Linked DNA regions of Macaca fascicularis. The protein of the gene in region 5 interacts with the protein of the main gene of each other region in a biochemical or structural test. Links are inferred from orthologs where the notes say so. Each region holds a gene or a part of one and is shown on either strand. Other genes may lie near its edges. The genes, in order: CCNE1, SREBF1, KLF5, NOTCH1 and FBXW7.

Region 1 (5,673 bases), on a different chromosome or scaffold from region 5:
GTAGGTCAGGTTTCAAATTCTTCTCTTTCTGGCCCTGGAAGTTCTTCTAGCCCCTCCAGCAATTACCTGCATTGATCCCCAGCTCAGCCTGACCTCAGCAAGAGTATCAGTGGAACATTCAGTGTAATGATAGGTGGTGTCTCAACACATTTTTTTTGACTGCTTTTCTTTTCTCTCCTGATGGAGTTCCTGCCAAATTTCCTGCATGCAGTGTGATAATCATTATAATATCAGAAGTTTCTTGCAGGAAAAGCTTGTACTATCTCTTTACTTTCAGAAATGGCTGGAGACTGTAGTTATGGCTCCCGTGCGGGGAAGCAGCCTATCTCTAAACTAGCTGGTCAGGCCTTCTGACTCTATCACAGATAAACGCTGAACAGAAACAGTGTTCCACCTGAGTACAGGGATCCCAGCTAGGTTAGCAGAGGAGCACCTCACTGTGCAGAGCAGCAGCCAGTTCATCTGGAAGTGTGAAGGGTTTCAACTCAATGGGCCGTGTTCTAAATAGCAGTTGTCACTGTAAGATTCCCCCAAAATAAGCATTTCTGAAGAGGGTCCACTGACTATTGAAGAAAGGGTTGCCGATTTCCTTTTTCATTCAAAGAAATCATTTCAGAGAAGGAAATAAGATGGCATATCCCAAGTTTTTTGTTTTTTTTTTTCTCCCCTTAAAAAAAAAGTACGTTCAAATCAAGCAAGTTGATTTTTTAGGTATTATAAAATGAATTCTGACTTTGTGAAATTCAGGATTGTTTATTTTCCCAGCTGTGTTTTGAATAAAAAAGCAACTTCCAGCTGAAGATGAAGCAGGGCCGTCCCTGTTACATTCTTGGAGTTTTAGAAGCATGTCTGTTCTCAAGGATAGCCTGAGTAGTGACGAGGGTGCCTGGGACGGATTGTGGCTCTGTCCCCTGGCCACAGCGTGGATAGCTGTGCTGCCAGAATAGCTGTACCGTTTCCCACTAGAAGGCATTTTCGTGGTTATCCAGAGATTAAAGGCAACAGATTTCTGTACATTTTGTAGAGTAGATAGCTTAAACATTAGCTGTCTATGTATGGAGCAGTATCTTTGTTATTTCTTTGTGGATTCATGAAACTAGAACTTGGGGGTACCACAGAACCTTTTTCCCTGTTCACATACAGAACTTTTCTCTGGAGTTACCATAGTTCACCCCAGTACGACAGTTTTGAGCTACTTGGAGCCATTGTGCTAAACTCTTGTGTAACTGCTTCATCAAGACCACATGGAGGTTTTTTAATTTTCATCTTAGCCTGTTCTTAATGAAAAGAATACCCTTTTATCTAAGACCTACTTAACACGTCCATTATGTTATTTAATTTTTTTGCACGAGACTCAGTCTTTCTATTGAAGTGGAATCCTGGACTGTTACTTTTCAGAAAATAATCCTACATAAGGAAAAAAGTGGTGTGAGGAGATGGAGTGGTTAGGAATCCCGTTGCTCTCATTCCTTCCTAAATAAAGTCAGACAGATCTTGCTTTGAAACTTGGTGTACACTCAAGTTAAGGACATAGACTTAATTATTCTACCTCATCCACTGGTCCCTAAAAGGCCAACTTTGGAAACCGTTTGTCTGCTGATGGTTCACCTAGTTTGTTTGGGAACTGCTGCTGGACTCATCTATGTCCAAAGGCCTGCTCTCAGATGTGCCAGCCAGCTGGCCTTAGAGGGCGGCACCCAGCATTATGCCTTCAAGACTAGAATTCATTCTTCCTGAATGAAGAACAACTTACAGCGGTTGTAATGTGACCCTTTTTGAGTCAAGGAAATGCCACCCGCACATGGTACTAGAACTGAAAGGAAGCAGCCTTGCTCGCACAGCTGTTGGCAGGAGCTGTCATGGATAATTTGCATGCCCAATTCTTTGTACATTGGGTGGGGAAGAGCTTTATCTGGCTTTGCTCTTCCAACTGAAAGTGTTTGGGCTTCCTCTGAAGGCGACCAATGTGCTGTGGTCGCCACTCTGTGCTGTGTCTTTGAGGTAGCACTTAGAGCCCAAGTTTCCACGTTCATTATAGTGACCCCAGTTGTCTATTTTTTTAAAGCAGAGACCACCGCCAGGCTGGTGGTCTCTGCTTAAAAAAAAAAAAAAAAAGCCAAGTGCGGTGGTTCAGGCCTGTAATCTCAGCACTTTTGGAAGACAAGGCAGGAGGACGGCTTGAGTCCAGGAGTTCAAGACCAGCCTGGACAACATGGCGAAAACCCATCTCTACCAAAAAATACAAAAATTAGCTGGGCGTGCTTGTGCATGCCTGAAGTCCTAGCTGCTTAGGAGGCTGAGGCAGGAGGATGGCTTGACCCCAGGAGGCAGAGGTTGCAGTGAGCTGAGATCGCACCACTGCACTCCAGCCTGGGCAACAGAGGGAGACCCTGTCTCAAAAAAAAAAAAAAAAAGCCAAGTCTCAGACTTTCATACGGCTTCCATGCTAGTGGGATTGTTACCTGCCTAATATCTTCAGCAGAGTTACCATTTTATAACTTTAAAAATCAGACATCTTAGAGTAGGAATAGCTTAAGAAAATATTCTAAATGAACTTTAGTGTTTTTCAGATACTGAAAACTGAATACATATCTGAAACCTTTAAAAGAAAAGCATAGTGCTTTGGTTTATAATAGTTCCTTATTTTATTGGGTATTTGAATTAGCCTGCAAGATTCGAGATTCAGAGGTCTTAAGGAGTATCTAGACTAGCTTCCTGTAGACTTAATAGTATGACCTGTGACCATCACTTGATTTGGTTTTAACTAGGTGGATAGTCATTCTGTTTGTTTCGAGTTAAGGAAAAGAGAAAGTCCTTTATTGTTTAACATATTTGGCTAGTCGCGCAACAAAAAAAAATGTCACATTTGGTGGGTTTTTGTTTTAAACTGAGGGGACTTTAATATATATGGCAGCCAATTTACATTTTTGATCTTTTATACTCATGAACGTGAAGTGCTTATGTAAATATTTTTATTGACAATTCTGTTTTCCTTTTGTGAAATTTTAGTAGATGCGTGTACTCACTAAAAAACAAATCTTTGAGTTGTGACAAAAAATACCATAATGTATCTTTTTGGAAGCACTTTCAGAGGTCATGCCCAGTATCTTACTGAGTTGCAAGTGACTTTGCAGTGTTTTTGGGTAATGTAGGAGCTGTTTGCATCTTATCTCACCTCTCCTGTGTATTTTTCATTTACAGCCTTGGGACAATAATACAGGCTGTGCAGACCCCTGCTCCCTGATCCCCACACCTGACAAAGAAGATGATGAGCGGGTTTACCCAAACTCAACGTGCAAGCCTCGGATTATTGCACCATCCAGAGGCTCCCCGCTGCCTGTACTGAGGTCAGTGCCGACTCTACCACGTGGCTTCCAGGTCTCTTACTCCATACTCCCCTTTATCCCTCATAGCATGGACGCATTCTCACCCCTGTGTGGGCCTCATTTTTGTTGTGTGTTTTGTTGTAGCTGGGCAAATAGAGAGGAAGTCTGGAAAATCATGTTAAACAAGGAAAAGACATACTTAAGGGATCAGCACTTTCTTGAGCAACACCCTCTTCTGCAGCCAAAAATGCGAGCAATTCTTCTGGATTGGTTAATGGAGGTGAGCTTGAGTCTTCCTGTTGCCTTCATGAAAGCACTGAGCATTTCCAGCATTTTTGTGTATTAGGATCTCTGTGTGGTTGATTCCCTTGACACGTTCTCCATCTCTGAAGCTATATGGTATATTTACTGAGGTGGTCTTTCTGTTTTGCTTGTATTCTTAGCAAGAATTTCTGAAATCTTTTTTTTTTTCTTCTTTTCTTTTTTTTGAGATGGAGTCTTTGTCACCGAGGCTGGAGTGCAGTGGCAAAATCTCGGCTCACTGCAACCTCTGCCTCACAGGTTCAAGCGATTCTCCTGGCCTCAGCCTCCTGAGTAGCTGGGATTACTGGCACACGCCACCACACCCGGCTAATTTTTGTATTTTTAGAAGAGACAGGGTTTCACCATGTTGGCCAGGCTGGTCTTGAACTCCTGACCTCGTGATCCACCCACCTTGGCCTCCCAGAGTGCTGGGATTACAGGCCTGAGCCATCGTGCCTGGCTAAACTGCTTTTAAATGTACCCACTGGAACGCATATATCACCTCTTTGATAGCTACTGTCATAAATTATAAACACGTGTGAACAAGTTTATCTTAAGCAGGTCTGACATTGTTCCTTTTTAACTTCTTGGAATCCATTCCCTTTTGCCACCATTCCCATTTATTCTAATAAAATATACTGTTCAAATCCTGGCTGGGCACGGTGGGTCATGTCTCTAATCCCAGCACTTTGGGAGGCCAAGGCAGAAGGATCCCTTGAGCCCAGGAGTTGGAGACTAACCTGGGCAACATGGCAAGACCCCATGTCTTTTCTTTTTTTTTTTTTGAGACAGAGTTTCGCTCTTGTTGCCCAGGCTGGAGTGCAATGGTGCGATCTTGGCTCACTGCAACCTCTGCCTCCCGGTTTCAAGCGATTCTCTTGCCTCCAGCTCCTGAGTAGCTGGGATTACAGGCATACGCCACCATGCCTGACTAATTTTGTATTTTTAGTAGAGACAGGGTTTCTCCATGTTGGTCAGGCTGGTCTTGAACTCCTGACCTCAGGTGATCCGCCTGCCTTGGTCTCCCAAAGTGCCGGGATTACAGGTGTGAGCCACTGCACCCGGCCCTCAAGACCCCATTTCAACAAAACATAAAAAATTGTCAGGGTATAGTGGCTCACGCTTGTAGTCACAACTACTGCGGAGGCTGAAATGGGAGGATTGCTTGAGCCTGGGAGTTGGAGCCTGCAGTGAGCCATGATAGTGCCACTGCACTCCAGCCTGGGTGATCATGGGACTCTGTCTCAATTTTTTTTAGCACATTTTTAAAGATATTTGGACCATTGGAGTGGCTTCTGTATTTTGAGACAGAGTTGCTCTGTCACCTAAGCTGGAGTGTAGTGGTGCAGTCATGGCTCACTACAGGCTCCAATTCCCGGGCTCAAGCAGTCCTCCCGCCTCAGCCTCCCCAGTCGTTGGGACTACAGGCATGAGCTACTACACCCTGCCAATTTTTTATTTTTTGTTGAGATGGTGTCTCATTGTGTTGCCCCAGCTAGTCTCCAACTCCTGGGATCAAGGGGTCCGCCTGCCTCGGCCTCCCAAAATGCTGGGATTACAGGTGTGCGCTACAGCACCCAACTCAAATCTTATCTTGATCCACACTATTTTGTTTCTCTTTAACAGTTAATCAAAAGAACAAGTATAACAAAATTTAATAGATAATGGTTAAACATAAGAGAGATTTTATGGGTAGTATATCTCTTACTGGGATGAACTGCGGTAGCTCATAGTTTCTGATTAAGGGAAACTTCCTAGACAACCTTGTAAGACTTGAATGGATGAGAAGTGGGCTTTTCTTCTGAAAAGACGGACATCTCAGGCAGACCCGTTTCATGAAAACATGTAGAAAATGAATATGTAACTACAAAAGTACCCCTCATCCTTGGGAGTACATCCCAAGACCCGCAGGAGACGCCTGAAGCCACAGATAGTACTGAGCTCTAGCTATGCTATGTTTTTAATCCTCTACTTTCACATTTTCACTTAAAGAAAGCACTTCACGGCTTCTCTTTGGCGTTTCCAAATAGCCAGCCTCAGTACT
Region 2 (5,797 bases), on a different chromosome or scaffold from region 5:
GGAGCCCGCGGAGCGGCCAGACTCCCCGGGGCGCTCAGCCTCCGGCGAGGGTGCGAGACGGCTTTGGCCTGGGGACGCTTTTCCCCTCTGGAATCTCAAGACGACGTGGCACACATTCCACGTGGGTGCTGTCGCCACCCCAGTCGGTCGTGGCGTGCAGCTGGGAGCCCTGGGCTTGGGGGTGGGGGTCGAAACAGTTCTGGAAGAGGCGGAGGGCGGCTCCTGGCTCCGTGGACTAGGCGGGGGAGAAAGGAAGCCTTTCTAAGAGCGGGCTAGGCAGGCGCTGGAGGGACCTGAGCCTTTGGAACAAACCGTGCGGAACGCTTCCAGGGGCCTTCCCGCCCAGCCTTTGCCAGATCTGTCGTGCGTTTCGGGCAAAGCCGGGGTAGACCTGGGCTGTGCTCAGTTAGGGGTTGCGGGCTCTCCGAGAGGTTGTGGGCGGGACTGGGACACCCTTTGGCCTCTGTTCGTCCCCTTTCCAGTCCACCCCACCCCTGGAGCCCAGCCTGGGAGCGCAAAACCCAAGAAGCGGCCAGAACGCACCTCCGGCGGACGCGCGACCGTTGTGCACCACCAGGGACCGCCGCGCCCACTCTGCACGGGAGCAGGGACAGCGCTAGATTCGTGTACAAAACCTGTGTACCCCTCTATATATATGTTACATAGAATGTATATATGTTGGGAACATGCTCGCTTCTCCCGTGTGTCGCCGCCGTGCGTCGTGCGCCCGCAGCAGAGCCCCAACCGGGCCTTTGCCGGGTAGGGGGCTACCACGACGCCCCTTGCCCACGCAGCCACCACCGGCCCGGGCCAGTCCCTGCCAGTCCGTCTGCCTGTCCGTCCGTGTCCTCAGCTCTGTCCACGCTTCGATAGGCCTGATGCAGCCCCCAGCCCAGGGCCGCCCTAGCAACTTCCTGTACATATGACTGTAAAATGGTAAACGTGTGTATTATATCTGGCCTCGTTATATAGTGTATATATATGTATACATATACATATATATAATATATATGAAGACTGTAAATGTTAAGACGACTAGTGTTCTTATTAGTATATTGCTTCACACTGAAGATTGTGTGTATCGAGCTGTTTCTAAAAGATGTTTATTTTCCTTAAGAGTAAAAAACAGTCATTGCATTCAGAAAAAAAAAAAAAAAAGTCAATAAAGATACAACGATTGTTTTGGAAAATCTGCAGCCCGTGGATTCCGACCAGATTCAGCTGGGAGCCGGGCCAGTGTTTAGGTTGGGGAATGGGAATGAAGGGAGGGGCTCAGGAGGGCATGAATGGAGTCAGGGAGCCCGCCCTTCACAGAACAGGAAACCTCTCCGCGCCTGTGCCCCCTCTCCAGTGTGGCGGCGGGTCGGGAGGGAGGAGGCTTCTTTGCTGTGAAAGGACCAGGGGCTAGGATGGGGGCAGGTGAGACGTGCCAGACTTGCAGGGAGACCCAAGCTGTAGCTCCTGTCATACAACAAACAGGTCCTGGAGGACAGTCCATCCTCCTCCCATGCCACCCAGGGACCTGATGGGGACACAGCTGGGAGGAGAGAAGGGACAACTGACCCCATCGAGGCCCTAAGGGTTGACAGCCCAAACGTGCCCTGGGAACAGGGGGACAGGTCAGCTGGAGGCCATACAGCCAGCCCTCCCCACTCCCCCTACTAACATCGGAAAGAGCTAAGTTGTGTCCCTCGTGGCCGGAGAGGGGAGGGAAGCCTTTTCCAAGGTGCTGGGGGAGGGCCCAAGCACGCTCACTGGTCAGCACATCAATCAGCTGAAGACACAAAACCCAGATTATAAATAATTTCATTTTTAATTCTCTGTACAAAACTTCTCAATCTATGAAAATAAAGTTTGCAAAAGGCAAAGTAGCACGGGAGCCTCAGGTCAGGAGGCTGAGCACGCTGACCTACACTATGTACACGTCTTCCCACAAGGGAGAGAGAGGCCTCTGGGGCTAGAGCCCCGCTTGCAGTCCGGGAAAGCCAAGTTGGCTTCCGTCAGCGCAGGGAAATGTACCCATCTCTTCCCTCTAAACAGGAGGAAAAAAGCCACTAAGGTGCCTGCAGAGCAAGGAGGGCCCCCCCGCCCCGAACAGCTCGGCTCCTGCAGTGCCCCGATCGGCCACCAGAGGTCAGCACCATCATGGCCGCCGGTATTAGGGTCGGGTTTGCGCCCCTCTGGCCTTCCACCCCGAAGGGACAGCGCAGCCGCGGGTGAACCGTGGAGGCCAGGGTCTCTCGCACTGCCTTCGGCCTTCAGGGCTTCGACACAGGACAGAAGCTGCACGGGACAGAAGTGGCTAGAGACAGGGGTGCTGAGGCCGGGGATACGGGTTCTAGCTGGAAGTGACAGTGGTCCCACCGCCCAGGCGCATGAGCATCTGCTGACAGTCGTGCAGCAGCCGGCGATCGCCAAGCTTCTCGAGCGTGCGCGCCGCCTCAGCCAGCATGCCCACGCGCTGCCCGGGCGCCGACAGGAAGCCAGGGGGCAGGTAGCAGGAGGCTAGCAGCAAGGCCTCCGCGTGCTCCCGCCTCGTGGGCCGCGGCTCCAGCTCCGCCACCGCGCCTGCGCACACAAGGATGTGTCAGGGATGGGGCTCAGGCTGGCCACGCCCCCGCGGGAGCCCCGCCCACACACAAGCAAAGGCACCAGCCGCCCATACCTAGTATACACGTTCCCCTCTCCCCACCCTAGTCTCAGCCCACACATAAAGTCCACAGACTGAGTCACGCACGTGTAGTCATATATCCCACAAATGACAGTTGCCCCACTGATTTCTTGTGAAAGGAATTGTCATCAGGTAACCACCAAGAAGATGCTTTTTTGTTTTTTTCCTTGAGATAGGGACTCTCCCTGTCACCCAGGCTCACTGCGGCCTCCAACTCCTGGGCTCAAGCTATCCTCCTGACTGGGCCTCCCAAAGTGCTAGGCGTGAGCCACTGTGCCAGGCCTGTCTGTCCCGTCTGACACACACGCAGCCTCCCTTGGTATCACACCCCATGTGCGCCCTTCCCTGCTGAGCAGACAGCACATCCCTGGTCAGCAGCTGCCCCTCACCTCCTTTGCCACCGGGGCCTGCCCGCCGCCTGAGACTGCGGTCGAGGAGTTGGTGTGTCCGTGTGGGGCTGGCCCCCGCCATCAGCCGGGCCGTGGCCTCATGTAGAAACACCTGGGGGCCAGGAGAGTGGAGGCTCAGGGCTGTCCCTCTCCACCACTGCCTGACTCCCCATCTTGAGGACAGGGAGCCATTGGGCACTCACCCTCCGCATGGCAGGCCGGAAGCTCTGTGCCAGCCGCCTCAAGCTGCTCAGGTCCCGTTGGAAGCCACGCAGCTCAAGGGCAGAAGCCTGAGGCCCGCTGCTGGTGCCCTGGGCTGCTGGGGCCGGGGCCGGGGGCTGCTGCTGCCGCCACAGGCTGGTGCGTACCACAAGGAGCAGGTCACACAGGAACAGCTGCACGGCCTGGGGGTGGCGGGCAGGGCAGGGTCACCAGGGCTCCAACTCTGGGAGGGGCAGGATGGGGGCCCGCGGTGCCAGGGGCCGGCTCCGGGCTGCACTGCCGAGGCACTGCACCCGCCTCACACACGTGCAATGCAACAGCAATGCACCGCGGGGCCGCCCGCCTCTCTTGGCCCCCACGCCCGCCACCGGCCCAGGAGCAGCTGTCCAGCCCTCCTGATGCAGGGCCTCCAAAGGGATCCTACCACACCATCCACCCCCATCCTCCCAGAATGGGGAAACTGAGGCCAGATAAGGGCAACCCCTCTCCTCTAGACAGAAGCCTTAGCCAAAAAGCAAGGACTGCTGGATCTCCTATCTGCTGGACCCCTCATCCTGTGCTGCTTGGGCTAACCCCATGGTCTTCTGCAGTCCCTGGGGCCTGGGGAGAAGGACCAGGGAATGGAAGGCTGAGTCCCCCAGCCCTGCCAGGCCCCTGACCCCACCCCTCACCTTATCAATGGAGCTGCTGGCTGGTGTGGTAGCCAGGCTGTCCTGCAGGTACCCACTGGCCTTCTCACAGATGGTCAGGCTGGCTGGACCAGACTCTGCCTTGGCACAGCCCAGCAGGGCCCGGGCAGCCTTGAAGGAGTGCAGAGCCGCCCTGGGCAGGGGTCTCCTGTTGGGACCAGGGCAGAAGAGTGCCAATCAGACCAGTCCACAAGCCCTGGCTGAGTGCCTCCCACTGCCCTGGCTCGAGTTCCCTGGGGATAAAAGGTGGTGACCCCTCCTGCACAAAGGCTGAGTGGAGGTACAGTGCCCAGGGGATGAGGGAGGCTGGGCCCAGGGCCAGGCAGGAGGAACCTGCCGTGCACTCACTCAGACTCCTGCAGCACCCGGGGCAGGTGCTCCACCAGTGGGCACAGCCGCTCAGCCGCCTCCTCGTCCCGCCGCAGCCAGTGGATCACCACAGCTGTCAGAGAGGCCCACCACTTGGCCACTGGGTCTATGCCTGCAAAAGAGGGAGGGTCCCCTGAACCCTCAGCCACGCTGCACGGGGACTGAGAAGGGAGCCAGGGCAGGGGCCGGGGGCTCACCGGTGGTGGTGGCCATGCTGGAACTGATGGAGAAGCTGCAGGCAGGAGCCCCCGCGGCATCAGAACAGCTGTTCAGCAGCTGCAGGTACCCGAGGGCATCCGAGAATTCCCTGTGGCAGGAGAGGGTTGGCTGTCGGGACAGATGGCAGGGGTCCTAGGAGGGTGCTGGCCCTCCCCACCTGCCCACTAGAGTACAGCCTGACCCCTGGCTCTGCAAACTGCCACTGTCTCCTCCCATAGGCTGGTGGGGAGAGGAAACCCAGAGAGGAACGAAGGGCGCATGGCACGCATGGTAGCCTAGCTCTGGCCCTCTCCGCAGGGTTGAGGACAGAGCTATTCCCAGAATCCTGCTAGAGGAGCCTTGCGTGGAGGAGGGCACAATGACACTTACTTGTCCCCATCAGCTGACCCAGGGCTGGGGTTGGGTTGGGTCACACAGTTCAGTGCTCGCTCCAAGAGATGTTCCCGGAATAGCTGAGTCACCTGGGCCAGGGGGTCCACTGTGGAGAAGAGGAGGTGAGTGGGGTGGGGAGCAGGGCCCCACCCTTTTCTCCAAGCTAAGGGCTTTTGCCTGGGTGGGCTGGGGCCACACTCAGGGTCACTGGGAAGTGCCGGCATGCCCCTGGGTGCAGCCCGTGCCAAGGACAGGGGAAAACAGGTGGACATAACTACGCCAGCACCAGCGTTGGCCAGGACAACACTGAGGCCTGCCCTACGCTGCTCCCAAAGGAAAACCGACTTGAGAAGGCACCACTGTTGGCTCCGCTTCCTTACTCCACAGCGGTGCTGCCTGGGGTCACCTCTCCAATCAGCCACCTGCCCTTCAATCCCTGCATGTGCTTCTGAAAGCCCCAGTGAGAACCGAGACTCACTCAGGCCTTTCCCTTCCTACAGCCCCCACATCAATAACCCATGGCAGGGAGAAGGACTGGGGTGGCCAGAGACAGCCAGAGATTCAGGCGACAAGGGACAGAACAGGAATGAGGACATGGGACAGGAGAGGGGACAGGGAAAGGGTAAGAGAGCACCTGGGTTACCAGCCAAGCTGTACAGGGTCTCCCGTGGGGTACTGAGCACGGCCCAGTCCCCATCCACGAAGAAACGGTGGCCCACGGGGTGGCAGAGCCACTGCATGGCAGGAGGCACAGACCCACTCTGTGCCAGGCAGGCCTGGCGGGCACTGCTCAGGAAGAAGCGCTGTAGGGGAGGGAAATGGGCTGTCACAGTGGACACAGGCTGGGGCCAGACCCCAGGCTGAGC
Region 3 (6,322 bases), on a different chromosome or scaffold from region 5:
AATTTCCGTACTATTGTACAGTGCTAAGCTAGTTATTTTCTGTGAGATTGCAGAGCAGGGCATTTCAGAGAAACTATTACTTAAAAGTGGCAGCCCTATTTCATGAATCTTTATGCCTGAAATGAAATTTTAAAAGGTGCTACTGTATTGGAGCAAAAAGGAATATATTCAGTTACTATAAGAACCCCAACGCTAGCTTCATATCTATATTCATTATGAAAAGTGGAAATATGAAACAACAAGACTAAAAATATTAAAAACAATATTAGTTGTGTGTGTTTTTTTCTTTTTTTGCAATGAAAAAGCTTTTGTAAATGAAAGCATGTTAAAAAGTGGTGTGAAATTATGGAAGCATTTCCAGTAAAATACAGGGATTTTATTGCAGTGAAAACTTAGATTGAAATACCAGGCCACTGAAGCTCTCGTAAAAAGAAAGACAAAAGGAAAGGTCTAGATAGGTTTAAAAGCACATTAAGATACAGCTACCAAATGTATTAAATCTAAGTTAGATTTAGCTTAAAGTTACAAGAGCACAAAAGTTCTATTAAGAATTATCTACATCACATTTAGGTTTGATGTTATCAGAATTAAGTAACTAACAATCTTTCAGAGCTCAATTTTTTAAAAGAGTTACATTAAATCCCATCCTAATTCTATAATCTGTTTCTAAGCTAATTAATTACATGATCGGTTTGATATTAGAGAAAAGCAAGACAGCTTTTTAAAGATGAAGGTGGACAGCATGGGGCTGTTTGGTTAGAGAAAAACTTGCAAAAGCACTTATTAAATAATACTTTGGTAACATGAAAGTAGTCATCAGTCATTCTCTGAAGGCAGTGGTCACAGTTAGTAGAAATGAATCATGTATCAACAGGAAGAGAAGGAAAAGGAGAAAAACCTAGTTTACAGCATAATTTTATATGTTCTAATAATAAATACATTTCTTTATGTGCTTATTAATTTTCTACCCATTGAAAATGAGATCCATACCTTTGATAGATATGCTCTTTGAAGTGAACGTTTTTTTCAAATACTTTTTTTTTTAAAGCTGTTTTACTCTGAAGCGATGAGTAGGCTGTCGTATATGTAAAACTGTCTAATGGTATACTGTGCTGTCAACATATGTACATTTGTAGTAATATCACAAGCATTTTTATTGCAGTTTATTGTTCCGTCCTCCCAATAAGCCAGATAAAATCATGTACAAGAACATTAAGGATTAAGGGAAGTGGTTTCCTTAGGTGATTCCTGGCAAAAATTCACCCTCCCATTATAACAACATAGTAAATGGACGGTAATATATTTGGCTATTACCTTCCAACAAATTTGGATTCCCAGTTTTCAGTGTCTATGTGTCTATGTTTGTGGCTTTCTGGTTGTCTCTTCGTAGGAAAAGGTGCCACAATGTGAGGTAAATGTGCTAGGTTTCTGTTTTGTAAATATTAAAGTCCATTTTTTTAACATACAGTGCTAGCAAAAATAAGTCAAAGATGTAATGTCTATTTAAGTACACATTTGAGCCAGTCGTGCTTAAATTAGATTCCATGCTTCGGCTAGAATCAACATGGCTTAAATATTAGAAACTTCAAAATTCATGTGGCCCAAGCCCTCCTCCCCACACACGGATAGGAGGTACAAATGTGTGGGAAAACGTCTAGCAATTAAAATCCTGAAGGAGTGGGAAAAACTCAGGCTTTTATGCGAGGATTTGAAAATAACGCTTCCCATCAAATCTTTTATTCAGGCATTCTGAATTTGCCTTGTTAAATGGATACAGTCACTGCTAAAGATACATGAGACAAGAGCTGTTTTAAATTTGTTTATCACACCGCCCCTAGTTTTCTGCTAAAGAGAAGTATATTTCGGATATTTAAAAGTACACACTCATTAGACAAATCTCTAAAAGCCTCAGCGCCCCCACCTAGCTGCCTTCTGGGTTTCAGCTTTTGAGTTTCAGGTCCTTGCACAACACCTAAGACGTGCAATACTCTTTTTCTTCCTAATCCTGGCAGAGAACAGTGCGAAGAGCTCTCCCTCCGCGTCTCCACCCTAATTCCCCCTCTTCCCAGATTCCACCCGCTCCGCTACTTCCCTCCGCCCCCAGCTCCGCCAGCCCAATCTGTCAGAGAAGTTGTGTACAAACTGCGCGGCCGCCCTGCGCGCGAAGCTCGTGGCCCGAGAGGGGTGCGGTCGGGCCGGCGGAGGCGGGGCCCTGGCTGCCTCTCTCCCTGCTCATAGGCTGGCCGCTCAGGCCCGGCCGGCCTTGAGGCCTCGGGATTCGCGGCGGCGCTGCCAATCAGGCGAGCGGGCCCCGCCCCCCCGGAGTTGGGTGAAATAGAGGCGGGCGTCAAGTGTCAGTAGTCGTGGGGCAGGTACGCGCGCTCGCAGTTCTCTCGCTGAGGTCGGCGGTGGCGGGAGCGGGCTCTGGAGAGCCTGAGAGCGCAGTGGGGCGGGGCGGGAGAAAGTGGCCGCCCGTAGGACGTTGGCGTTTACGTGTGGAAGAGCGGAAGAGTTTTGCTTTTCGTGCGCGCCTTCGAAAACTGCCTGCCGCTGTCTGAGGGGTCCACCCGAAACCTCTCCCCTCCTCCGACCGCAGCCCCGCACCGAGCTCGCCGCCCCAAGCCAGGGTGGGCGAGGTGGGAAGTGCGCCCGACCCGCGCCCGGAGCCGCGCTCCCGAGTGCCCATGGCTACGCGGGTGCTGAGCATGAGCGCCCGCCTGGGACCCGTGCCCCAGCCGCCGGCGCCGCAGGACGAGCCCGTGTTCGCGCAGCTCAAGCCCGTGCTGGGCGCCGCAAATCCGGCCCGCGACGCGGCGCTCTTCCCTGGCGAGGAGCTGAAGCACGCGCACCACCGCTCGCAGGCGCAGCCCGCGCCCGCGCAGGCCCCGCAGCCGGCCCAGCCGCCCGCTGCCGGCCCGCGGCTGCCTCCCGAGGAGCTAGTCCAGGTAGGAAGAGCCGCTCCCCTCCCACCACTGCACTCCCGGGCCCGGGCGTGTCCCGTCGCTGCGACGCGCGGGCGACAGGGGCCGCTCCAGGCTGGGGCGTGCGTCGGGGCGCACCGGAGCCGGTGCTGGGTGGGCAGCCCCGCCCTGCACGCCTGGCCGGGGACCCGCGTTTCGCTGAGAGTAAATGAGGGGTCGGGAGGGGGGAAGGATAGAGGGGAATCTGCCCCGGCGGCTTGGCCTGGGAGAGATCAGAGGGAGGGAACTGGGTGCTCACACGCACCTTAGTTGTTTTTCTTACACTTGAGGGACGAAACCTTGTACCTTACGCTCAGTTTTACTTAAATTACGTCTTCACCTTTACCGCTCCCCAGTGCCAAGGCATTGGAGCTCCCCCATCCCCATCGTCTCGGGTTAAGTAGAAACGCAAATTGGGGTGCTGGGGAGAGGTTGCTCAAGATTTCATAGCCGGTGGCTCAACCTGCTTTAGAAGCGATCGCGGGCCGCGTTTGGAAAATGAGAGTTAGGAAAGCTAAGGTTGTGTTGGAGCGCTTATTTTTCCTTAAAAAAAAAAAAAAGACCGGGGGTGTTGTTTTCTTCGTGTGCGCGTAAATTTCCTCCCGGAGCCGCGTTGAAAGCTGGCAGTTGGCTTTTACACTTGCCCAGCAGCCGAATTAGAGCAACCGCCTGTTTCTTTCGCCCACGCAGGGAGTCATATAGCCCAGAAAAAAACTTCCCGGGACTTTTAGCCTGTCCCAAGGAAAAAAAAATTGGAAACATACCCACATGCAAACAGCTGGAAGAGCTAAAATCAGAAACCACTAACCGCCGCGGGAGCGCAGTGCACGAAAGGGTTTAGTTCAGTTTATTTCAAGACACTTCATTTAGTAGCCCTTTGGCGTATCGCATATTTGCTACCCAGCGCCTACTCCGTGGGGTCTGTCAGGGTCCTGCTGTGAGAGGGCAGTGGCATTTGTCAGAGATGTGACTCACATGACGTGAGCGTTAATTTTTATTTTTAAATCGTGTCTATCCGGGAAACCCCGTCCGGATCCACACCAAGGTCCGAGATGAAACGCATTTGAAATGAAGTAGTAGCAGAAAATGACTGTCTTATTTACCGATTAAGGTGCCAAGCTAATACTATGCGCCATTCCATCTAGTTGGTTATCTTATCTTTCGAAATTTCCTTTTTCAGTGTTAAAAAATGTAGGCTTAAGTTATACTAGGAGAGAAGATAGCTGGAAAAAGCTTGAGGCGACTTGTTACAAGCTGATTTAAAAGCCTAGAAAAGAGATCATCGTTTGAAAAGTATTTGGTTATTTCAGTTTGTCAATTTTCTGCTCTGGAGGCACAAGAAGATAAGGGATGACTGAGCTTTTTACAGAGTCGGGGGGAATGTAGCATTGGCCCACTGAGGAGGACATGATAAATGTTTTGCTGATGACTGTGCTAGGGATACAGCAGCCTCCCCACCCACGGGCTCCTTAGCAGCACTCTAGCGAGGGAGTGATTTTCCCCTAGGTAATTAAAGATCTGTTTTAGATAGGGGTATGAATAGGAACATTTCATTATCATATTAACCAATTACAGGATCTGCTGATTAAAATCAACCTTTAGGTCAAATATTGAATGTGAAATTGTTTTGTTTCAGTGGATACAAGGTTTTGCTTAGAACATTGTATTTCTCATTGAACTGTAAACAAGAAAAGACACAGAAGTAGCCAAAGAATATTTTTTATATTACTTTTGAAGTGTCTAGCCAAATAAACCTTTGCAATATTTTAAAGGTTTGCATAGTTTTTTCTGTAAAAAAACAAAACAAAACAAAAAACACGCTTTTTAATGTTTATGACTTAAACAGAATTGAGGTAGTTTGGCAACATTTCAATAGTGTACTCTAATTGCAAATTTAACTGTGTAATGGGGCAGGGAATCCTGCTTGTACAGGGGTGATACCTTGTTATTGCATCAGAAAGGAATGTTTTCAGTTTGCTTTCTTTTTTTTTCTTGATTTGCGTCTTTCACTTTTGGGGGTGATTGGGGGAGCAGTTTTACCAGTTACACAGTTTCATAAGGTTTTGGTCAACCAATTATTACACAATCGACAAAATAAGCCTGATATGTTTATAAGCAACACTGAGGAGTTTGCCCGAGTACCTTATACAGGGATTGGGGTAATTTTTAGTAGGCGCCGATTGTTTGTCCTTCCCAAGATGGTGAATCAGGTGGATTATGCATGTTTGTATCTCTTCTTTTTTAGACAAGATGTGAAATGGAGAAGTATCTGACACCTCAGCTTCCTCCAGTTCCTATAATTCCAGAGCATAAAAAGTATAGACGAGACAGTGCCTCAGTCGTAGACCAGTTCTTCACTGACACTGAAGGGTTACCTTACAGTATCAACATGAACGTCTTCCTCCCTGACATCACTCACCTGAGAACTGGCCTCTACAAATCCCAGAGACCGTGCGTAACACACATCAAGACAGAACCTGTTGCCATTTTCAGCCACCAGAGTGAAACGACTGCCCCTCCTCCGGCCCCGACCCAGGCCCTCCCTGAGTTCACCAGTATATTCAGCTCACACCAGACCGCAGCTCCAGAGGTGAACAATATTTTCATCAAACAAGAACTTCCTACACCAGATCTTCATCTTTCTGTCCCTCCCCAGCAGGGCCACCTGTACCAGCTACTGAATACACCGGATCTAGATATGCCCAGTTCTACAAACCAGACAGCAGCAATGGACACTCTTAATGTTTCTATGTCAGCTGCCATGGCAGGCCTTAACACACACACCTCTGCTGTTCCGCAGACTGCAGTGAAACAATTCCAGGGCATGCCCCCTTGCACATACACAATGCCAAGTCAGTTTCTTCCACAACAGGCCACTTATTTTCCCCCGTCACCACCAAGCTCAGAGCCTGGAAGTCCAGATAGACAAGCAGAGATGCTCCAGAATTTAACCCCACCTCCATCCTATGCTGCTACAATTGCTTCTAAACTGGCAATTCACAATCCAAATTTACCCACCACCCTGCCAGTTAACTCACAAAACATCCAACCTGTCAGATACAATAGAAGGAGTAATCCCGATTTGGAGAAACGACGCATCCACTACTGCGATTACCCTGGTATGTGCTCTTACCTGGTTGAAGCATCAATAGGTTGTGTGTGTGTGTGTGTGACTTTAAAATGGCAATTGAATAAATTGCAGTTTTTAATTCTAAATTAAGTGCCCCAGAAAGAGATTAAAGTAGGGTAGGGGAAAATAAGGTTTGGTAGTGAAGTGGAGGTTGTAGGCAGCTAGCGTGATGGTAGGTACAAGACTGTCTACAGGATAGATTTAAGAATGGTTTTGATGGCATGTGAGCATA
Region 4 (6,334 bases), on a different chromosome or scaffold from region 5:
GGAGAAGGTCTCCAGGCCCCAGGGCAGCAGATACACTCCTGCTCGGTAGGACCCCTGCCTTCCCCCACTGCCCACACCCACTGGCCTGAAAAAGAGGAATGGGAAGCCCGGACAACTTGTGAATGAAGCTTCTCACCTACTTGCCAGGGGCCCACCCCCTTCCCAGGCTGGTGGGGAGGGGAGGCCCATCCCCCTCATCCCTTGCTTCTCCTCAGTACCAGCTGTCCATGGGGTACTCCCGGCTGTGGGTGGTGCAGGCGTTGGGAGCTGGGAGGCTGAGGCCTGTGCTTCCCTCAGGTCTGTGCACCCAGCTCCACCATCTGTAACATGGGCTTATGAATGTGCCTGGCTGCTGGGCGGCTTGACGAGTGGACATCGAATGGGCCACTCTCTTCTCTGCTGGTAGAGGATAGAGGCCCCAGGTGGAGATGCTGTCAGCACAGCTGGGGCAGACCAGGGGAGAACCCCCGTCCAGGGATCCCCTCCCCTCCCAGGCCGCCCCTCCCAGGCCACCCCTTCGAAAAATGTTGAGGACTGGCCCCCGAGCTAGGGCTACATGGGCCATTACTTCTGGCCTGGGGCTCACAGGCAGAGATGCCAACGGAGGCACACAGGCAGTTGCACCCGATCAACACTAGGCCTGAGGCCTTCAGGCCTCCCTGTGCCCCACCCCACCCCCACCTACCGGGAGCAGAGGACGTCGTGGTGGGCAGTGTCCTCAGCCTGGGAGCCGCACAGCCCCGCGCTTCCTTCTATGGAAAATCTGCTCCTCCAGGCTGCCGGGCTGCTGTTACATAAACATCTCTGCTGCCTCCAGACGCCTCCTCTCCTGGGGCGCTGACCCCGAGATGTTACCCCAGGCCTGGAGAAGTGAGGCCAGCTTCTGGGAGGACGCAGGCGAGGGAGGCTCCCAGCAGCAGCTACAGGGGGGGATAGGCCGTCTGCACTGGCTGTTTCCAGAGTGCTCAGCACTTGGCAAGAGGTGTGCCAGGAAAGGCTCGCTGGAGTCAGGTGTGAGATTTGTCCCGCTTTCTGTGCCTCCCTCTGCCACCATGCTCTGCGGTTTCTGCAGCCACTCCCCCAGGCTCCCGAGTCCTAGGTCCCTCTCAGCCTTTCAGTCTCCCTTCAGGGCAGGCATAGCCCTCCTACTCCAGGAGAGCCCCCAGCGCCTTCTGCCATCGCACTCACCACCCTGTGTTGGAGTGGGGAGGGGGCGCTGTTTGTCCCCAGCACGAGGCTGTGAACTTTGCGCAGGGACTATGGCAGGCATTTTGGACTCCTGGCGCTTAACCAGGCTTGGCACAGGGTGCCCGTGCCTGGCATCGTGGTGGAGAAATAAATCAGCCGGAAGGGGCACGTGGGAGGGGCTGCGCCGGCGCCAGCGGCAGATCCGCCCGACCCGTTTGTGCTTTCTGGGGCCACCTTAGGCAGGCGGCGCCCCGGCAGGAGGAGGACGGTGACCGAGGAGCATGTCGACGCGGGTCCCCCCTGGGGCAGCGGGGCGCAATACGTCCGCGAGGCACTGGTCCAGGCTGCTCCCTTGGGGCGCCCTAAACTCCCTGCCCTGAGGCCGCTGCGCCCCCATCCCTCGCGGTCAAGTGCTCAGGCAATCACGGCCAGGGGTGTCTGGCGGCGATCGATCCTCTGGACGCCTAAAGCCGCAGCCACGGGGCCCTGGGGAGGGAGAGAAGCCGCTGGGCTAGGGGCGCACCCACGGCTAGGCCACTTCTCCCAAAGCCCTGCCCCGGGCCCGGGGTCCCCCAACGTGGCCTCAGCTGCTCCCCGCCCGGCCCAGAGCACGGTGGACACAGCTGCCTGCGGCCTCGCCCTCCCTACTCCACCCCGGGCTCCTCCGCTTATTCACATGCAAACTTCCGTCGCCAATTGTCGCCGAGCGCGGCAACGGCCAGAGCCGGATCCTTCCGCAGCCCCGGCTCAAACTTTTGGCCTCTGAAAACTTTCAAACGAGAAGTAGTCCCAGGCGCCCGCTCCCGACCCACGCCGCGCCGCCGGGTCCCTCCTCCCCGGAGAGGCTGGGCTCGGGACGCGCGGCTCAGCTCGGGGAGGCGCAAAGGCGGACCCAGCGCGCGGGAGGAGGCGGCCGCGGAGGGGGCGGGGGGACCGGTGGGGGCGGGGCCGGGCGGGGCGGGGCCGGTGGGGGCGGAGCGCACCTCGACTCTGAGCCTCACTAGTGCCTCGGCCGCGGGAGGGAGCGCAGGGGCGCGGGGCGCGGGGCGCGGGTGCGAGCGCAGCGAAGGAACGAGCCAGGCGCGGAGACGGGCCCGGGAGCCCGCGGGAGCACAGCGCCAACTGCCAGCCGGGGAAGAGAGGGCGGGACTGTCCGCCGCCGCCCCGGGACCGTCCGCCGCGCGTGTGCGTCCCAGCCCCGCCGGCCAGCGCAGGAGGCCGCCGTCCGGGCGCAGAGGGCAGCGGGGGGGAGGCATGCCGCCGCTCCTGGCGCCCCTGCTCTGCCTGGCGCTGCTGCCCGCGCTCGCCGCACGAGGTAGGCGCCCACCCACCCGCGAGCCCCCACTTTCCGCGCTCTTTGGAAACGGCAGCGCCCGGCGCACGCGCCCCGTGGCTGGGAGCGGGCGTGGAGAGGGAAAAGCGGGCGGCCCGGGGCGTGGGGTTCTTGGAGTCCCGGGCTGGGGGAGGACCGACCCTCCCCCTCGATCCCCCCGTGGAGGCGGACTCGCGCCGCCCGTGCCTGGAGCCGAGTTTGGAGGCCGGCGTGAGGTGCTGGGGTCCCGGAGGCCCTACCCGGGCCCGCCCTTCACCCGCCGCGCGTGGGGCTTGCCGCCGGTCGGCCGGGCGGGCGGGCTGCCTACTACTTTTCGATTTGAATAGAGTCGGTTTTGGTTTCCTGTTGCTTCTCCGGGCCATTTATCTTCTTTCTTCTTCGCTTCTGGCCCACGCCGGGGCGGATGTTGGGGCGCGGAGTGTGGGCTCCGCGGCGCCGCGTTCGCCTTCACTGACCCGCGCGGCCCGGCTGGGGCCCCGGGCTCCCGGTCGCCCCGCCCGCCGGTGCCCCCCAGCCCAGCTCTCAGTTTGGGGGAGGGGTTTGCGTAAGAAGCCTTCGTGCCGGGGGGCACTGAACTTTTCCTTTTGCTTTGCAGAGTTGAAGTTTGGAGAGCTTGGGGGTGGAGAGCGGGACGCGGGTGGGGGGCTCTTACATCTCTCCTCGCCGCACATCGAGGGGGGTCTCTGGGGAATCGAGTGATTAATCCACTCTTTCTCCGGGAGTTGCAGGCGAGAATTATTTGTTCTCTTCCAGAAAGTGCTGCTCTATGTCACACCACCCTCCCCCGTTTCTCAGCCCCCTAAGATGGGGAGGGAGGGGCTTGAGTAATTGATCCCTTCTCGAGATGGGGTCGAATTCCTTCCGAATGGGGGACCTTCATCCCCCTCCTGTGTGTGTTTGGGGGCTGCCCTAGAGATGCGCGCCCGCGGGAGCAGGTATTGGGTGTCGGCGGAGGCGGGGCCGGGTCTCCGGGGTGCAGTCCTGGTGCCCCTGGAGGCGGCCCCGACTCCACAATGGGCCGCTCTGATTCTGAGGCGGAGGCCGGCGCTTTGTTGGCGGGCGGGGCAGCGGGCGAGCAGCTGTCGCATTTTCCCACGGGCGGGAGCTGAGTGTGGCCACCCCCCCTTCCCGCCGTCCAGCTCTGCCCCCTTGCAGAACGGGTTTGAACAGAGGCAATCTCGGCGGCTGGATGGGGGGCCCTGCTCTGCCAGCCTCCCCAGTGAGCCTCTGGGGTGGGGGGCAACGCTTGGGAGAGTAGCCCACTTTGTCTCTGCTTTTACCCCACTGCGTCCAGGCGGCACGTCAGGCCACCCCATCCTGCTTCAAGCAGGACGTGTTCCCTGCTGCTCCTCTTCCCCCCATTTCTGACTACAGAACTCTGGGCAGAATGTTGACGCCCTTTGGTTTCATGGTGGGGCTTCCTGTGGTCCCCTGCCCTGGTAACCCATGTCACTGAGTAGAGGCGTCCAGGGTCGGGGGAGGACAGTGCCCCTCGGCTGGGTGCGGGTCCCACCCCCAGGGTAACAAGGGCCTTCGGTGGTGCGGGTGAGACTGACCTCTCTTCTCCTGCCCCTGCCTAGGCCCGCGGTGCTCCCAGCCGGGTGAGACCTGCCTGAATGGCGGGAAGTGTGAAGCGGCCAATGGCACGGAGGCCTGCGTGTGAGTACCACCCCTGCGGGACCTGTTGCTTTGTTGAGGGCAGAGCCCCTGCCTTCTGCAGCCGCGCTGGGGACAGAACCCTGGGGCATTGTCTTCTGGAGATGGCCCAGAGTCTGGGCACGGTCACGTGCTGACTTTTATTGGACAAAGTCTGGCAATTACTTAATCACCAGCAATTATGCTGCGTGTGGAGCTGGTCTGACTGCTGGGGGCTTAGGCACTCCTCTGTGGGCCACCTCAGGCTCCTGGGTTACTAAGTGGGAGTCCCAGGACCCCAATTCTTCTTAAAGTCCCCAAGAAACAGTTGATCTGTCAGGGGAAGCTCTGGACCATTTACTGAGAAGCCCAGACCCCACCACCCTGCCAACTTGGGGCACCTCCTCTGGGCGGGTGATGCCTCCTGGGCAGGTGATGATGCCTCCTGGGCACAGGTGATGCCTCCTCTCCAGGGGTGATGCCTCCTGGGTGGGTGGTGATGCCTCTTGGGCTGGTGGTGATGCCTCCTCTTGATGGGTGATGCCTCCTCTGGGCACAGGTGATGCCCCCTGGGTGGGTGATACCCTCTATGGGTGGGTGATGCCTTCTGGGCTGGTGGTGATACCTCCTGGGCACAGGTGATGCCTCCTGGGCTGGTGGTGATGCCTCCTCTGGGTGGGTGATGCCTCCTTTGGGCACAGGTGATGCCACCTCTGGGTGGGTGATGCCCCCTCTGGGCGGGTGATGCCTCTTTGAAGGAAATTGACCCTTCACAATTGGACCCGCCTTTGGGCTCTTGTTTGCCCCAGCTCCCTCCTCCCGGCCTCAGGCTGGGGCTGGGGAAGAGAAGGCGGAACTCATCTTTTGGCGCGGGGTGTGGGGTAATTATTGAGTCTGGTTTCTGTCCTGGCATCTGCAAACTCTGACCTCCAAATCCCGTGGCCCTTTTGGTCTGCCAGGCTCAGATGTAAAATGGGCATGGAGGGGGCTGGGAAGTCGCGGGGAACCGCTCCCTCCTGCCTGCCTGTGAGTGCCAGTCGGCGGTGGGGAACTGTTCTGCTGTGGCCGATGCCCTTCAACTTGAGTCCATCCCTGATGAGAATAATGAGGAGGTGTTTGGTGGCTGGAAAAAGAGTTCCCTCCGCCCCCCAGGAGCTACAGATGAAGAAATGGCTCCCCAGCCAGTCTGGGCGCCCTCATTCCAACTGTAGAAGGTCCCATTCCCTTGACAACCCCAGCCCGGCTCCTGCCTGCGCCGACTGCCCAGCCTGTGGGCAGCAGCCCCCCTCCCTCCCCGGCCCCCACCCTCCCCAAACTGAAGCCAATTAAGCAGGTCCGTGAGCAGTTTAATGGACAAAGCCGGCTGTGTCTTTGTCAGACACTAATGAATGCGCACACTACTTTTTTTTTTTTTTTTTTTTTTTGCTTTTTGGGGCCCCCTTCTCCCCCTGCAGAAGCCGCACGGACGCTTGATGCCCTAAATCTTGTTTCCTTTCATTCAGAGACCGACAGCTGGGATCCAGGGGAAGTGCAGCAGCTATTGTTGGGGGAGGCGGATTAATGCCGTGTGATTAATTATGCGTGGCTTCCCAGAATGTATAACCCCGTTCCCCGCCACCGCGCTCCCGGCTCGGACTTTGCCTCCACCCATTCAGGTCTCTGGGAGAAGCTTCTTGCTCCTGCAGAGGACTTTGGGAGGGTGGGAGGAATGCCGTGCTGGGAAAATTGGGGGCCTGTTGCTTCTTCTCAGTGGCACTAGGCAGTAGGAACAGCTTGGCCCACAGGGATCTGGGACTGAGGTCTCCACAGGCCAGAGGGCTGTGCTTTGGGGTACAGATGGCTGCAGCTCCCTGATGTCTGGGCCAAAACCCTGCCACAGGGCCGCAAAACACTTGTGTCATGGGCCCACTCTCCCATTCCCCAAACCTGGGATCCTGGTGAGCTGTTTCCTGCCCAAGGCAGGCCACTGACCAGGGCTTTGGTGCCTGGCCTTGTCCCCTTCGCTGGGGCCTGGCGCCCCCTCCTTCTTGGCGGGAAGCCTGCTTCAGTTTGGCCTGACAGGCAGCCGAGCTCAGCCCACAGAGACCCCATTGTGCACACCCCACAAGTCCAACGAGAAGATGGGACGGAAGTGCGTCCTCAGGCTCCCGCCTCTGGGCTGCAGGGTTGGAGGCCAGG
Region 5 (5,673 bases):
AATATGTATATGTTATAGATTTTTTTTGTTTTGAGAATGCTAATAATTGTTACTCTTTGTGGTTAATAGATGCGTATTTTGTTCTTGTGTGTCAAAGTTGTAAAAATTAGAGGCATATTCTTCTGGTTTGAACAGATAAAATAGATTATTGTCAAATACATTGGTGTTCGAACCATCTTCATGAGGTCTTGATGCAGTAAAACTTTAATAGTTGATGTTTTGAGTATAAATAATAGACTATGGAAACAATAAAATGTTTAATTCTGAATTCGTCAGCCAGGAAAAATAATGCTTTATATTTTATATAAATTATAATTCTAGAGATAGACTACAAATTACCGTTCCAGTTTGTGCCTTCATTTTTCTCTTCACCAGTGTTTTAAAGAACATAATTTAATTAACATATTTCTAATCTGTACATCTATCTTATAGGTGCTGAAAGGACATGATGATCATGTGATCACATGCTTACAGTTTTGTGGTAACCGAATAGTTAGTGGTTCTGATGACAACACTCTAAAAGTTTGGTCAGCAGTCACGGGCAAAGTAAGTTTACTCTTCCTACACTTCACAAAGTCACAATTTTGTGTATAGCATTGCAAGTAGCAACTGGAAAAAAGAAAATCAGAATTCATTCTTGATTCTCAATTATTGGGATAGCAAATATCAGAGCTCGTAACTTAGCTTTTTCCCCCATATTTATGAAAATCAATGGCATGAGGATAATGATGTTTCTCATGATAGAGGTTTCATTAATTTTTTTTCATTTACATAGTTTGTGACAGATATTTTAACATTTTCAAGGGTGCTTTATATTTTTCTTGGCTCAATTTTTCCCCACTTTTATTTACTGTCTAAGTTATACCTCATTACTTTGTAATGTTTTTCAGAAGTATGGTTGAGGGGTATTTATTTTTCCTTATGAACTGCTTTGTTGATAACCTACCTATTGTTTAGAACTTAATAAATCATGTTAATTTATACTTATCTCAAACCCTTGTGAGATGAGAGTGGACTAGGCATTTAAATGTAAGTTTGAAGAAAAAAGTAGCCCAAGCAATCAGCTTGACCGTGTACTATATCATACCTTAATGATTCTCTAGCAAATATTTATTTGTATCTGTCCAGTAGAGAATATTTTCATGAATTAAGTAATTGCCACCTAAAAAATAACAGAAGAGAGTATGAAAACAAAAAAAAATCCATGTCTTTTAAAATGTCTTTTACCATGGTGCTTCTTGGCAAGTATCTTATAAATACGCCAAGTCAGATGTTAAAATTTTTTAAAGCAGCTTTATATTTCCATAGTGTAATATTAGTTTGGGATTTATTTCAGGGCCTTAATGTCTGTCTTTACTTGTCTAGAAGTAGCTTCACTGGCTCCTAACTACTGCCCTGGGGCAGATTCAGATGAAATGTGGTATGTAGCCACACCCAATACTGTTGGCATACTTTCATTGAATCTATTCCCATGGAAGAAACCCAGTTGCAATTTCAGTATTTTTTCATCAAAGAGACCAGAGCTATCATAATTGCTTTCATATCATGTTTCCTTTTTATTATATCATATTTTATATCATATGTTTGCTTTCTACATGTTCTTCAATTGCTTGTGCTTATATAAATTTATAATGCTTTGAATAAACAAAACTATAAATAGTGATGGGATCATTTTATACGGATGTGTAAAATAATATTTTCTGAAGAGCCAAACGAATAAATAACTTTACTCCAAATTTTAATGAGCTATTAAATTTTATTTAAATCACTTTTCCTTTCTACCCAAAAGTAATCATCTTAAGTGTTTTTCCAGTGTCTGAGAACATTAGTGGGACATACAGGTGGAGTATGGTCATCACAAATGAGAGACAACATCATCATTAGTGGATCTACCGATCGGACTCTCAAAGTGTGGAATGCAGAGACCGGAGAATGTATACACACCTTATATGGGCATACTTCCACAGTGCGTTGTATGCATCTTCATGAAAAAAGGTAAGGGAAAATCTTATCGTGGTTGGGACTTCTTCCTCTATTATTTGTGAATTTGGGCCCTTTCTGTATAGAGTTACTGAAATAGTGACAATGAGCTCTTAAATTACATTTAATTATTAGACTTCAGATGGTTCTATTCTAGGAAAGCCATAGTGTTTTGTCTTAAAATTGGGGATTGTCTGTAAGTTTCCTTTTTCATTTGCTAGTGTTGTCGGCTTCCTCTTTGAAGCTCTCTACTCTCTAATCCTTTTTATTGTTCTGTATCTTTGATGACTCATCATGTTCAAGCAGAAATCATTTTTTCTCTCTCTTTTTTTGATATTCTTACTTCTGCAAGTGGGACAAATTCAGGCTTCAAGCGTCTGAGCCTTTTTAAATTACCTACCCACCTTACACCCACCCTATCTCTTAAGTCTAGGCAAAGGCTGAGGCCTGTGAGTAATTTGTTCTCTCATTCTGAACTAGTGTCACAACTTTCTAACTTGGTCATCTTACATTTTATATGCTGACATACAGTCCTTTTATAATTATGATAGTGTCACTGCCCAGTTCTTAAGTCTTTGTGAGCCTACTGTTGACTAACGAATTAAGGAAGAAATCCTCAATCCAGTTTTCAAAATGGTGTCTGCCAAACTAGATTGCTTGACTTTTTCTTCTCAGTGCCTTTGCTATTACTTTTATCTCCTCCTGTAAAGCCCTCCTATTAAAATCCTATCTTTCTATTATCTTCATCATACCCCTGTTAAACAAGTGTGATTTCTGCCTCATTTGTCAAAAAAGGTCTCTCTGAAAGGTCCTTACAGTGAATCAATGGCAGTCTTTACCTTTAATTCTGTCTATAGCATCTTCTTATATTAAGAACCATTACATTAAGCAGATTTCACACCAGATTTGTAATATGTTTTCATTGTGTTCCATTGTGTTCTGACTTAAATCTCAACCCTTTAATTTTCTAATTTTTCCAATATGGAAACTGTGGTATTTCTTTTATCTCTTCAGAATGAATGACATAAGGATACCTGAGTTTTCAGCTTTGTTTTGTAATCCAAAAGTGATTACAGTATTTGCATATTGCTCTGGTTTTCAGGAGAGTGTAGCACTAATGTTGAACCACATGTTTAAGGGATAGCCATTGTTTTTAAAGATGTACATATCTTTAAAGATCCATATCAATATTTTTATAGCCTATTGCATATTTATAAATCTAATCATTAAAAGCATAAGCAGCCTGTGTTTGAGGACATGTCTAAAACTGGTTAATTTTTACTGGAATGTATAGTGTAAACACAAATCTGCAGCTGTTTAAATTCCAAATCCTGACTTGTTTTGTTGTATAACCTTTATTGAATTTTTTACCTAATCACAAGGGAATATATGCATCCATAATTGAAATTTTGGAAAATGGCAAAGAACATAAAGAAGAAATTTAAATTCTTTAAACTACTACCACCTAGAGTTCTCCCATTAACATTTTATACACATGCCCACATTAACATTTTATTTCTAAAATCAAAATCTTATTGTATATATTTAGAGGCAGCTACTGCTGCTTTTAAAAAAAAATACAGTGCAGTGGTTTTCAAACTCAGTCCCACAGAACCTCGAGGTGCTGGAACTAAGGTCCACAGGTCAGGGAACCAAGCATGAAGCATTCTAGGCTTCCCAACTTCCCATTCCCTTATTGTATGTTTATATACCAAGGTTTTACATAGGATTTCTTTTGACAAGAGTTGTTCCTGTGTAAGAAAAAGAAAGCTAAAAAACCTTGACTAAATCTATCATGTTTTCTCATATTATTAAAAATTCTAAACATGGGTTTTTTTGTTTTGTTTTGTTTTTCTGTTTTTCCCTCTGCAGAGTTGTTAGCGGTTCCCGAGATGCCACTCTTAGGGTTTGGGATATTGAGACAGGCCAGTGTTTACATGTTTTGATGGGTCATGTTGCAGCAGTCCGCTGTGTTCAATATGATGGCAGGAGGGTTGTTAGTGGAGCATATGATTTTATGGTAAAGGTGTGGGATCCAGAGACTGAAACCTGTCTACACACGTTGCAGGGGCATACTAATAGAGTCTATTCATTACAGGTAAGATCTCTTATCTGTCCCTTAAATGCTCTCCTGATGAATCATAAGGTTGTTTTACTCAGATAATCGCTGTCAAATTGCTGCTCCAGTACAATCCAAAAAAGATTAACCAGATTATTCTGCTGTTTTTATATAAATTTCAAAATTATTTAGATGCTTTCAATTTTCTGTGATCTATTTCTCCTCTAAATACAAATATTTGTCTTGTAACCTGACAATTTGGGACTCTAAGGTTTGCTATATTAATTAATGGTTAAATAGTCTCATAGGAGAGTAACCTGGATTTTAAGAAACTCCTTTGCAGAGGATTAATATGGCCCAAAGCTGACCCTTTGCTTTGATAGCTGAAAGTTGATGGACCATGTAATTGTGATTCCATCCCCATTCAAAGTGGAAATAGATCCTTTCTGCATAAAGCACTCTACTGTCCCAGGCCCACTGATTTGTAGTCATAAGGAAGTAAAGTTGACTAAACAGATTTTTTTTTTTTTTTGGTTTACATTTCAAGCCCATATCCTTGAAAACATTGCCATATTTTAAGATCATTGACTAGATGAATAGGAAGTTTAGAATATGAATCTTGTTTTGTTTCCAGAAAGGCAACATTTTCAATGTAAAAATATTTCCTACAGCCTATATAGTTTATTTATCAGTTATTGCCCATTAATGTTCAGCAAATTAGTACATAATCTTAGTACTGTCAATTCTGTTCTTAGGATATTTGTTTCTTTGTCGAAGGAATATTGTCCATGTCATGAAATATTGACAATATGATCAAGATGTTTGCTAAATTAGAAAAGGTGATGAATTTGGAGGAAGGGAAATTGGCTGCACCTGTTTGTGATATTCTCAGAAGCTTAATGAATATAATATTCTAATTTAAATAACCCCATTTGATTGAGAAAAGAGGTAGCCACATTATTATATAGAAATGATAGATTGTTGTTGACTTTTGGTGTAGCTGGGAAGCTGGAGAAGAGGTGGTATGTAGTTTGCTTTTGATAACAAAATGCCACCTCTTCTGATTCCAGATACAGTTATCTTTTGGCACATTTCCTAATTAGCATTAGGTTCTTATAAATGAAATTTTATTTTACACACGGTTTTTAATGGAACTTACTTTTGAACATCACGAAAGTTATCTCTAGCCCTTTTCATGCCTTAAGTGCTGATAAGCACTCCGTTTATCATAAGCTATGTCATTAGTCTTAGCTTCCTAGTGGGAAGGAAAACTCAAATAGCAATTCTCTCAGTCACCCATGATATATAGCTAGGTGGGGCCAGATGATTTGAAAATTAATATATTGTTCATTTTAGGTGCTTTGTTTTCATTTTAAGTTGCTTCTGCATCTAGTTTGAAGCAGCTTGGCATAAAGATGAAACTTTCTGATAGAAAGGTGTGAGAACATACATTGTAGAATGGCTTGGCATGCACTTTATCCTCATTGCCACTTTACCTTAGTACCTCATTTTGTTCCTGGCATTACCCATTTCCCATCCTCTTCCCCCTTTCCTACTAGGATTAAGGTCAGTAATTGATATGAAGAGCATCCGTACTTCTATTCTAATAAACTGTGTCTTTTGTAGTTTGATGG

What was found.
Region 1: of the proteins of FBXW7 (region 5) and CCNE1, one has a biochemical effect on the other in vitro, tested with the Homo sapiens proteins (18 studies listed by BioGRID and IntAct, with this or other methods). The link is inferred for Macaca fascicularis from reciprocal best matches to the Homo sapiens genes FBXW7 and CCNE1.
Region 2: the proteins of FBXW7 (region 5) and SREBF1 form a complex in vitro, tested with the Homo sapiens proteins (3 studies listed by BioGRID, with this or other methods). The link is inferred for Macaca fascicularis from reciprocal best matches to the Homo sapiens genes FBXW7 and SREBF1.
Region 3: the proteins of FBXW7 (region 5) and KLF5 form a complex in vitro, tested with the Homo sapiens proteins (2 studies listed by BioGRID, with this or other methods). The link is inferred for Macaca fascicularis from reciprocal best matches to the Homo sapiens genes FBXW7 and KLF5.
Region 4: the proteins of FBXW7 (region 5) and NOTCH1 form a complex in vitro, tested with the Homo sapiens proteins (2 studies listed by BioGRID and IntAct, with this or other methods). The link is inferred for Macaca fascicularis from reciprocal best matches to the Homo sapiens genes FBXW7 and NOTCH1.

What each region holds. Positions count from the first base shown.
Region 1 is NC_088393.1:37,077,439-37,083,111, forward strand, and holds part of CCNE1 (G1/S-specific cyclin-E1), read left to right. Parts: intron 1-3,201; coding exon 3,202-3,347; intron 3,348-3,470; coding exon 3,471-3,606; intron 3,607-5,673. UniProt on the Homo sapiens protein: Essential for the control of the cell cycle at the G1/S (start) transition.
Region 2 is NC_088390.1:17,915,156-17,920,952, forward strand, and holds the end of SREBF1 (sterol regulatory element-binding protein 1), read right to left. Parts: intron 5,735-5,797; coding exon 5,566-5,734; intron 5,038-5,565; coding exon 4,929-5,037; intron 4,648-4,928; coding exon 4,538-4,647; intron 4,453-4,537; coding exon 4,320-4,452; intron 4,120-4,319; coding exon 3,954-4,119; intron 3,465-3,953; coding exon 3,264-3,464; intron 3,173-3,263; coding exon 3,061-3,172; intron 2,569-3,060; coding exon 2,339-2,568; 3' UTR 1,795-2,338; downstream 1-1,794.
Region 3 is NC_088391.1:64,024,706-64,031,027, forward strand, and holds the start of KLF5 (Krueppel-like factor 5), read left to right. Parts: upstream 1-2,359; 5' UTR 2,360-2,684; coding exon 2,685-2,945; intron 2,946-5,205; coding exon 5,206-6,079; intron 6,080-6,322. UniProt on the Homo sapiens protein: Transcription factor that binds to GC box promoter elements. Activates the transcription of these genes.
Region 4 is NC_088389.1:2,813,723-2,820,056, forward strand, and holds the start of NOTCH1 (neurogenic locus notch homolog protein 1), read left to right. Parts: upstream 1-2,187; 5' UTR 2,188-2,442; coding exon 2,443-2,503; intron 2,504-4,101; coding exon 4,102-4,180; intron 4,181-6,334. UniProt on the Homo sapiens protein: Functions as a receptor for membrane-bound ligands Jagged-1 (JAG1), Jagged-2 (JAG2) and Delta-1 (DLL1) to regulate cell-fate determination.
Region 5 is NC_088379.1:157,242,030-157,247,702, reverse strand, and holds part of FBXW7 (F-box/WD repeat-containing protein 7), read left to right. Parts: intron 1-432; coding exon 433-546; intron 547-1,813; coding exon 1,814-1,995; intron 1,996-3,852; coding exon 3,853-4,078; intron 4,079-5,665; coding exon 5,666-5,673. UniProt on the Homo sapiens protein: Substrate recognition component of a SCF (SKP1-CUL1-F-box protein) E3 ubiquitin-protein ligase complex which mediates the ubiquitination and subsequent proteasomal degradation of target proteins.